2 linked regions of the Zea mays genome follow. Each later gene encodes a partner of the first gene's protein in a complex. Links are inferred from orthologs where the notes say so. Each region holds a gene or a part of one and is shown on either strand. Other genes may lie near its edges.

Region 1 (4,932 bases):
GCAGCGTCTCGCTGGCCACGCTCACCATGGCGAGGCGGGAGCAGCGCTTCAGGCTGAGGCGCTCGAGCGCCGGACAGTTGGCGACAAGGCCCCGGAGCGCCTCGTCGGTGACGTCGACGTGGCTGAGGGAGAGCGAGCGGAGGCCGGCGAGACCCACCGCGGGGAGCGGAATGGCGCGGAGGCTGAACCGACCGAGCGCCAGCCGCTCCAGTGAGTTCCTGGCCTGGAACAGATCGGCGGGGAGCTCCAAGAGCGGCGCCTCGTGACCGGCGTGCGGGACCTCCTCCTCCTCGCCCTCCTCCTCCTCCTCCTCCGGTAGCGGCGGTGCCAAATCCACTTCGACCGCCCTGGCGCCCCTCCGCAGGCCAGCCGCGATCCACCCGATGACGTCTTGCCCGTCCAGATCTGATGGGCAAACCAACGCCACGCATGAGTCTGCTGACCGGTTGGGTGAAGGCAGCCGATGGGGAGGAGTTGGAGGACGACAGTGCGCTGCAGGCCGCCGATGGGGAGGTGGAGTCCGACGGTGCGGTGGGGGAGGAGGTGGAATGCGATGATGGGGTGGAGGAGAGGGAGGGGAGGCCGCCGGAGTTGAGCGCAGTGGAGGAAGCGCGCGAGCCCGTGGCTGGAGCCGCCGGCGGAGATTAGGTCGCGGCCGTCGCTGGAGATTAGGTCGCACGGTAGGCTGCACGCTGGACAGTGGGCTGCACGATGGGATGGGCCTCAGATCTACACAAAAATTATTGGGCCGCACGAACCGCTGCCACATGTGTGTGCCATCTATTTTATTAGTGCCACATTGGCCATTGAGAGTAATGGAACATGGCTTATAAGGGCAGCTGTGGATTCTATGTTGCTCACTAAGAGAGATGGGACGGAACGTTGAGAGAGATGGAACGGAACAGAATGTAGCACATAAACTTGTGCATGTATTGTTTATTTTGTTGCGCGGGACTAACGGAGACAGAACAGCCGTTGGCAGAACGCGTCAGAGGCAGAACACGTCAGAGGCAGACTACTATTGCTTACTTAATAAGTAGTAGAGATATTGATTCCGTAGCAACGCACGAGCTTACACCTAGTCAAATATATATAAGATTAAGAATATAACACAACATTACATTACCTAACATTTAAAATACATATTTAGAATTATATGGCTAAGCCTATGTTAAATCTACAATTAAATCTACAAAATTGTGGTAGTGCTGGTCTGTCTTCTGAACCCGTGATTTGAGACTATCTCGATCCCTATAAAATTAGTGTAAAAACAAAGAATCTTCTGTAGTAATTTAGAAACGTATCATGTGCAAATCTACTTTTTAGTGTAAACCGTGCAAACAAGTGTTTTTTTAAATAACTCCTACTGTGCATTAGCTTCAAAACTTGCGCCAACGTGTTGTTTTGCACTTGATATATTCCAGTAATTTTTTTTGTTAATCACCACTTCCCACTAATGACTGAAAACTACTTTAGAGCCACGGTGGCCTAGATCTATTTTTAACCGGATTGTTTGTGTAATTTATATAAATTTTGATTAGTTGAAACGATTCTAAATGCATTTATGTATAATCGAACATGGGCACATGCCTTACTAAGATCAAACGCTATCGATAATTCGTCGTTTTCTGTTTCAGCATTGTATTGTTTTTTTACCTCAGTTCTCACACGACTACACGAGTGACACCAGCTGGCTTTCACAAGCTTCTCTTGCATTGAAACCATCCGGCCGGCCGCGATCTGACCCGTCCATTTGCCGATCCAACGGCCACCAACCCACCACCACCACCTCACGAGCCCAACCAAATTCAAACCAACGCTACCGTGCAACCAAACCAACCAACCCCATTCCTCCGCCGGCCGCCGGCAGCCGCCCGCGATGTCGAAGGCCGCGGCAGCGTCCCTCCCGCCGCCGCCGCCAGAGGTGGCGCACCTTGTGGAGCAGCTCCAGCGCCACCACCTCGCCCCGGACGCGTCCCTCCTCTCCAGCTCCGCGCACTCCGACCTCCTCCAGGTACGCCCGCCCGCCGCGCCCGCCACCCTCCTCACCCTACCGGCCTACCGCTGCTCACCTGATCCCTGTGCCGGCGCAGGCGCGCGAGGAGGTCGCGGCGGAGCGCGCGCTGTACCTCGAGGCACTGGTGAGTCCCGACTCCCCGCCCGCCTCGTCGGATCCGCATTTTAGGTTTTGCTCGCCGGGTTCTCATCAGATCCGGCGCTGTGCCGTAGGCGGTGTACGCGGAGGCGGTGGCCATGGTGGAGGAGTACCATGCGGCTGCCGGCGCCGGCAAGAAGCTCAACTGCTCCCCGCAGGTTCTGCTCCTCTGTGACGAGTCCTCATTTTAAATTGACTGGTGCAATTGTGCAAATATATCTTCAAATGTGAGTTGGGTGGGCAGTACTAGCTGAACAATAGACCGTGGAATTCCGCACGGTTGGTCAATGGGAATTCCTCATCGTTGGTTCAATTGACTTAGCACCATGTTCGGGAAACTGTCCAGCAAAAATTACATTCTGATTCAGTCGCTGAGCTTTGTCGGTTCTGAACTTCTGATCCAGGTGTACGAGTCTTTGGAGCACCGGTTGGCCGTGGCAGAGGCAGCACAGAGGCTTAGGCTCCCACTGCTCTCTCAGGACGGGGAGGTCCATGAGCAGGAGATCGAAAAGCTGAGCACCTATTCAAGAAGTTCATTCGATAGCACCCTCACAAGCGCGACACCCAGCTCAAGTTCAATCTCGACGAGTTACAACAATTATAGCAGCAGCGCTAGTGCGGTGACTGTTGCTGCTCCACATTGGAGTGGTAGTTCTGATGCAGTTGAACCTGGAGTTGGTGGTGTTCCTGACCGTTTTCTTGGGATCACTTCTGATTATCTCTACCAAGTGCAACAAGAGCAGCCAGCCATGTCTGTTGTAAGAACATTTTTTCGTGCCTAAATGGTCAATTCAAACCTTGTTACTTTTTTTATGTGGTTAACGTAATTCTGGTATATACCTTTAGAAGTGCAAAACTATTCTGTAACCAATTTTAGACTATGTTGCGTTTTATCCTTTTTGTCAATGAGTGAAAGAATAAATAAAATCTTCACCTGAACTTTGAAAGCATCTGCTTTTGTGTTGATTACAGGACATGGTTGATTATCAGAGAACTTTGGCTAGGGAGATTGAAGCCCGGTTAGAAGCCAAGTGTGATGCTTTGGCTGATCTATTTGCTATGGATGAAAGGGGTCAGTTACTGAAACTAGTGGAAGATTAGGAGAGAGGGATGGAGCAGTCCAAATTCTGGTTCTGGTTATTATTCTGTCTTACCTTAACATCTTTGCTGCAGATTCGTCATCCCTCAGTCAAATTTCAAGTGCTAGGCTTCCAGAAAGGTAGACTTTCTTATCTTACATTTTACATCACACTGTACCAATCACCTATTTAATATTAATACCATCTCACCGTCCCTTCTTTGCTGCAATCCCATCCATTTACATAGCCAACATATCTTGGCATGAGTGCCCAATTTTCCATGGAATTGGAAACTCATGTGGAGCTTGTGATATGATGAAGTTGGACAGGCGTCCCTGATAAGTATTCCTCATTTTTTTTACTTCCCATTTGACAGGGTAAAATTAATCATCGAAGAGATAGAGAAGGAAGAGGCACATCTCCTGGAGGACCTTGCTTCAATGGACAGAAAATTTGCTGAACATTATAATGTATGTTTGTATGCCTTTACTAATGCCTATTTTTTCAGAGGTGCACTGACTTTACCTTGGCACAAATTCTTTCTCGCACCTCTAAGTAATTAGCTATGGTTCTGAAAATTCCAAAGGTCTTGGAGCAAATTCTTGCTGTGCTTATACAGTTTGTTAAAGACAAGAAATTGGAGCATCAGCACCAATTTGTAAGCATTCTCATATTCTGTTCTCTGGTTGAACTTCTTCAAAGTAAACATGTCACATTTTCATACTGTTAGTATTATTAGTCGAAGTGTTTAACATGTCTCATTGTCTAACAGGATGATCTGAAGAAGACCTGGCTTATCAAAAGGTGTCGGACAATGAATGCTAAACTAAGGTTGGTACTCGCAACAGTGATCATATTATAAGTGTACAACAGTTGTTACTCTATACAACAGTTCTCTCTCTATATATTTTGAATTCCCTGTGCTAAGGGATTTGAAGATTAGGTTAACTATATATATATATATATATTACTTTGATTCCAGCTATCTGGAGCATCATCTATTGCGTGACACTTACACCAAGGACACAGTACCAGCACTGCACAGGATCAGGTATAGTTAAGGCAATCGATCTTGTAGTGGATATACTTTTTTAGTCATGTTGCACTTGTTATTCATAAGATGGATTTGATTTGTTAGGTGCCTTTGGTTTTCAGCGAAGGACCTTCTTGTAACATATTAACTGCTTTTGCAGGAAGTATCTTGTAGAGGCCACAAAAGAAGCATCCAATTCTTATAATGAAGCGGTAAGATACATGATTTTGCTTCTTGAAATATTTCCAATGTCTGGTTGTATGAACAGCCAAGAAAAAGCTCTCAAATTGGTGGCTACAACTCACGAAGAGTAGAACTGTACAAATCTTAAGAGCCAATGCCTAGCAGCTACTTTTTAGTGAAAAAACAACTAACTGATACCTTGAGGCTGTATGAAGTAGTTAGCATCAAGTTATAATTAATCATTTATGACTAAGCAAAGTCCTGCTTAGGAAGGTTAAATGTGCAAACATGTGACAACCTATGATTTTAATGTTAACCTGCTGCAGTAGGCAATTTAACCTGATGTAGAGTTTATTCCAGTTGCATAAACAATAACCAGACATATGGTATTCTGTATTTTTTCATTTTTAACTACATGTCTGGAGAAAGAACGGTGCCATACTGCCATCTCAAGGAATATTCCGTCTGAAAAGAACTCATGG
Region 2 (4,775 bases), on another chromosome or scaffold:
CAAATAGTAAAACACGAATATGCAACTAAGGTTTTGTCTAAGTGTTTCTATCTCAACCACAAAAGAAGTTTAGCAACCAAAGTTCCAATCCTACCAACTAGCATATATTCTAAACTAAGAATAGTAAGGATTGCAACTTAAGTAAAACACTAAATGTGAAATCTTAAAGAGAAGGTAGAGGAAGCAAACTCCCAATGGTGTGTTGATACTTTTATCGAGGTATCTAAAACCGTGCAAGGTTCTAACTAATTCTCGCTGGTGCCCCTACACAAAGGCAAGCCCATGCGAGGGTCAAGCACATAGAGAGTCGCGAACTTTCTCCACGCGCAAGTGGTGCTTCGCTTTCAGCTCCTCTTGGACGCTCCCTGTTGTCATCACTATCGAGCTTTTGGTCGAAACATCATGGGTCTCATCTCCTCTGCTACACGGTGGTAGCCACACCACAAACTCGGTTGTTGTGGTCTCACAAGACCTCACACCACTCGGTACAAGTTGCTACAACTCGTGCAAGAGTCGAGGGGTTTGGAGGTGTCTATTCCTCACTCAATCAACTACGACTAACCTAGAGCAAGCACAATAGCGATCTAACTAACCTAAACACTTTGCAAAGCACCTACGCAATCACTAAGTGATTCTATTAAACACTTGGGGTGTATGGAGCAATGGATATGTGTACCAACTCAATAGCGAGTTTGCTCAACTCTCAACACTCTTAATTTGTCGGTTGTGGTATAGAGCCCAATCCCAAATATATCCGTTGGAGGACAACATCTCCTATGCGTTGCACCGGGCCTGGTCCGGAAACCCTCTCCGTCAGCTAGTTGTTGGTCATCTCGTAGATTCCCTGCAATTGTGCAGAGGTCAGGTGCACCATTGGATAGGTCCGGTGACCATCACGTCGGATGGTTGTTTCTGACTAGCCATCGTCGACCGTTGAGTCGAGGTCCGGTGCGCCACCTGGCTCAGGTGCACGAAAACTGCACCTCTGCGCAAGCGGTCCAGTGCACCTACCAACAACCTAGTTTTCTTGATCTTCATGGACCTTTACTTGTGCTTTCTCGGTCTTGTGTTTTGGACTTTTGCTGAATATTTGTGAGTCTTCTACGGATCATTTGATGTCTTCTTTGAGTGAACTATAAACATAAACACTAGCAATTCTCTATATTCTTCCTAATTGATATGAATAGAGATTTTTATAAAAAAATACCCTTCAACAATTTATTCAAATGATTATCTAAATATAGCCATCTTCTATTTCGAGTTTCTCGCTAGCTAAATATAGGAAACGTGAATACTCTCGAGAGTGCATATAAGATATAAAAAAATATTGGAGATTGAAAATATATATAAAGTGGTTTGTGCGTAATAATATAGATAGTGAAATTTAGAAAGACAACTGAAGATGCTCCCTATACATAGGACTGATTTTAGCTAGTTAGCAATTAACTCTTGTATCCAACAGGTGCTAAATAACATGCAAAGGTGTAAAAATAGTTCGATCAACCAAAGCAATTTGGATTGCAAACAAAACAATGAGCGGCTTATTATGTAAGCAGCAGCCATCTGGGGGTTCAAAAAAACAAATTAGATAGAGCTCGCCGAGCAAGCAAGCAAGCCAACTCGGCCGTCCGAACGAAAGCGAAGCGCGGCCAAACTCACTCGCTAAACGCTCCCGTTCTCCTCCGCCTGCCCCCACCGGCTCCCCTTGTACACGAGCGCCGGAGACGCCATGGCGGCGGCGCAGCCGAAGCCGGCCAAGAGGCTGGGCGGCATGGCGGAGGCGCTCGCCATCGCCGCCGACCTCGGATTCCCCGCCTCTACCACGCAGGTCCGTCACACACTACCGCAACTTCCCGATCTGTTTCGCAGCCTAATCCTGCCGCCCGCCTGGTTTGGTTCGAATCCCCGCGCTTCAGCCGGATCTAGCTTTTTTGGTCCGATCGCGTTACGTTGCGAGGAACAAATTGTAGGGTTCAGTTTGTGGAAGCGGTGGCATCTGGAGAGTTAGATACGAAATGATTGTGAAAATGTATGTTTGGAGGCAAGGGTTGCGGCCGAAATAGTGGCATGAGCGCACAAATTTCGTGTGTTTGGGTGGTGTAGCATCTGGTTCGGTTAATCGAGGCTGCATAAGCTTGCGTCATTTCCTGGAGAGAAATTGTGGGATGGCTCTATATTTAGGATAATCGTTGTGAAGAGTTGTTGATCTTAAGAAACTTTGCGATCTTAGAACAAAATGCGAATACAATGAAAACTCAGCATTGCTGTGTGGTGCTATATCTGTTTCGCTGTTTATTTTCTTTAGATTAGTTGCTAAAATTTAAATTTAGGTTTCTATGCCAACAATACAGAATCTGAACTGGATGCACTGGACACAAGCACACAAAAACTGAGGTGGTACCAATGAACAAATGGCCATCTGAAGCCCTCACTATCCCCTCTGTTTCTCTCATTGCAGGAAGATCAGACTAGCTCCGACAAAAGCGATGATTTGGTGAAGGTTTTGAGGGAACTGACTGTCGTGCAGAGGAACATTGCCAACTTGCAAGTGGAGCTACAGGGAAGAAAGGTGATGTTTTTATATCCAGTTGTTAAGCTTTATATGTTTGCACCAGTTACACACAATGCCAAAGCTTTTCAGTTCCTGTACAACATTTCCATTTCATAATGAAATCCCTTTAGATTCTCTATTGAAGGTGGTCAGATTATGGTCCCTTTTGTAAAGTGTGCCATTTCTGGCTTGGTTGCTCATGAAATGAGATTCTAGGCAGGGATGAGAGACTTCCTAATGAGTTACAGCATTTTGGGGATACAGTATATTCATACGATATATCTACATGTTGACTGTTAGTATGAGCATTACTTTACGTAGGAGTGGTAATGGGATCTAAATTTTACACTATAAAATTTAAGTATCGAATCGGATTAGGATCGAGCTCTATTCCTATACATTTTTGAACTAAAATTAATTAGGGTCCCTAACTTATTGTGAAGAAACATTTAGATCGTGATCTATTACCATCCCTACCTTTACCATGAATATTTGTGGTGATATCAAAGGGAATGTATTTTTTTTCTTTTAATTCCAATTTTTATTTTTTCTAACAATGAATTTGTTAGATGATCACACTTATTGGAACTATGTCTGATACTCTGGTCCTTGAAGAATGATTAAAGATGTCCGCATATCCTTAAGATCTTACGGCTAAATCTTTTTTAGCCTAGTAGTATGTACAATAGGGCAGGTGAGTCCAAGTGGCTCCTTGAGCCAGCCCTCAAACTGGCGACCTGGAGTCGATCCCTGGCGTTGGCACCAGGAGGCCCCTCTGTTGGCCTTGTGAAAAAAGAAAAAAACGATAATGTATGAGCATGTTGATGCCATACTAATATAGTAATGTGGGATTGGAAAAGGAAAATAAGCGTTGTCATAGTGTCTATGTTTGAACCCAGTACTTTCCAGCATGCTGTTTTCCGATAGTGCCATATCCATTTTCTATATCTTATTTTCGTAGATTTTCCTTTGATTCTATGGTATTGTCATAGGTCATATTCATGAAGTTTTGTTTGCCACAGGATGATAAAAACATTGCTCATTTGACTCATGTGAGTGAGATGGAAAAGAAGTGCGAGTCTTTGGCCAGAATGACTGCAATTTTGAAAGATGTAATTCAGAACAAGGTAATATAAGCCACATACCTGCATTGTATTATTCTTGCTTCCTTTCTTGAGTTTCAAGGTTATATGTTGTTTTAGTCAGATGTGTCAAGAGCAGTTACATATGCATTAGCCAGTTGATCACTTGATCTACGTGTCTAAAATTGTGTCTATTGTCTATCAGGATCGTATTATTGCTCGGCTGCAACAGCCTTATTCCCTTGACTGCATACCAGTTGAAGCTGAATACCAGGTAATTTATTTTTGTTCTTGTCTTGCAATTTCTATAGCAATTAGCAAACAACATGATAATGTTGGCCTACCCCTAATGCATTTTCATTGCTTTCTTTTTGCCTGCTTAATGTGCTGATCTCTTGTCAGAAACAATTCTCGGAGCTACTTCTGAAAGCAGCAAGTGACTATGGGGCATTGACAGCATCAGTCGGCGATTTCCAGTGGAGCCAAAACTTTAGGGAATCACCAGCTGTCTGGGGGGTAAGTTAATTTTTTTAATCGGAGTCATAACAAAGTCATCCTATGAATACACTTTCCACTTGTACAAATATATTCATGTTTTTTTCTCATTTTTAGAGATAGTATATGATTTATCATGAACCCATGTCAGGATAACAGTGCATTTTGTTATGTATTCATTGTGACTAACATGCCTTACAACAACTCAAAAATCTTGTACATATGTCCTCTGTCATTAGTTATAGGTTTAAATTCCTCTTTCTCTTAATGAAGGAAATGCTGCGACCGATTCCTGCTGCACTTGCTTCCTGCACCCGGTTCTTCGAGGCAATGTCTGCGATGAGGGAATCCTTTTCTACTCTTCAGAAACTACGCGTTGGCCATTCCTCTCTGTCAATAACCCCAAGTGACTCCAGCGACGATTCAAAGTTCTTGACGCCACCTCAGTGGAGAGACGGCTCGATACTCGATAGCTGGAAGCAAATGGATGACATCAACCTGGAGAGCAGTGGAATTGACGCCATGAATCAGAGGAGGTTGTCTTGGCCCTCCATCAAGAGGGACCCGTAGGTCGCAGGTCACCCATTGGATTTAGGTTCCCATGTTACATAAATAGGATTCCACCTTGTGTAGTTGGCATTGATTCT

Evidence for each region. Proteins that work in one complex are often made in the same cells at the same time.
Region 2: AUGMIN subunit 4 (region 1) and AUGMIN subunit 2-like share a complex: the UniProt entries of both Arabidopsis thaliana proteins name them as parts of the augmin complex. The link is inferred for Zea mays from reciprocal best matches to the Arabidopsis thaliana genes AUG4 and AUG2.

The regions. Positions count from the first base shown.
Region 1 is NC_050100.1:72,639,134-72,644,065, reverse strand, and holds the start of AUGMIN subunit 4, read left to right. Parts: upstream 1-1,816; 5' UTR 1,817-1,879; coding exon 1,880-2,014; intron 2,015-2,093; coding exon 2,094-2,141; intron 2,142-2,229; coding exon 2,230-2,313; intron 2,314-2,559; coding exon 2,560-2,913; intron 2,914-3,127; coding exon 3,128-3,227; intron 3,228-3,328; coding exon 3,329-3,374; intron 3,375-3,610; coding exon 3,611-3,704; intron 3,705-3,820; coding exon 3,821-3,892; intron 3,893-4,006; coding exon 4,007-4,065; intron 4,066-4,216; coding exon 4,217-4,285; intron 4,286-4,427; coding exon 4,428-4,479; intron 4,480-4,932. UniProt on the Arabidopsis thaliana protein: Involved in microtubules reorganization during spindle and phragmoplast development.
Region 2 is NC_050105.1:64,176,049-64,180,823, reverse strand, and holds the start of AUGMIN subunit 2-like, read left to right. Parts: upstream 1-1,628; 5' UTR 1,629-1,729; coding exon 1,730-1,828; intron 1,829-2,458; coding exon 2,459-2,569; intron 2,570-3,573; coding exon 3,574-3,678; intron 3,679-3,838; coding exon 3,839-3,907; intron 3,908-4,035; coding exon 4,036-4,149; intron 4,150-4,401; coding exon 4,402-4,698; 3' UTR 4,699-4,775. UniProt on the Arabidopsis thaliana protein: Contributes to the assembly of the acentrosomal spindle and phragmoplast microtubule arrays as part of the augmin complex.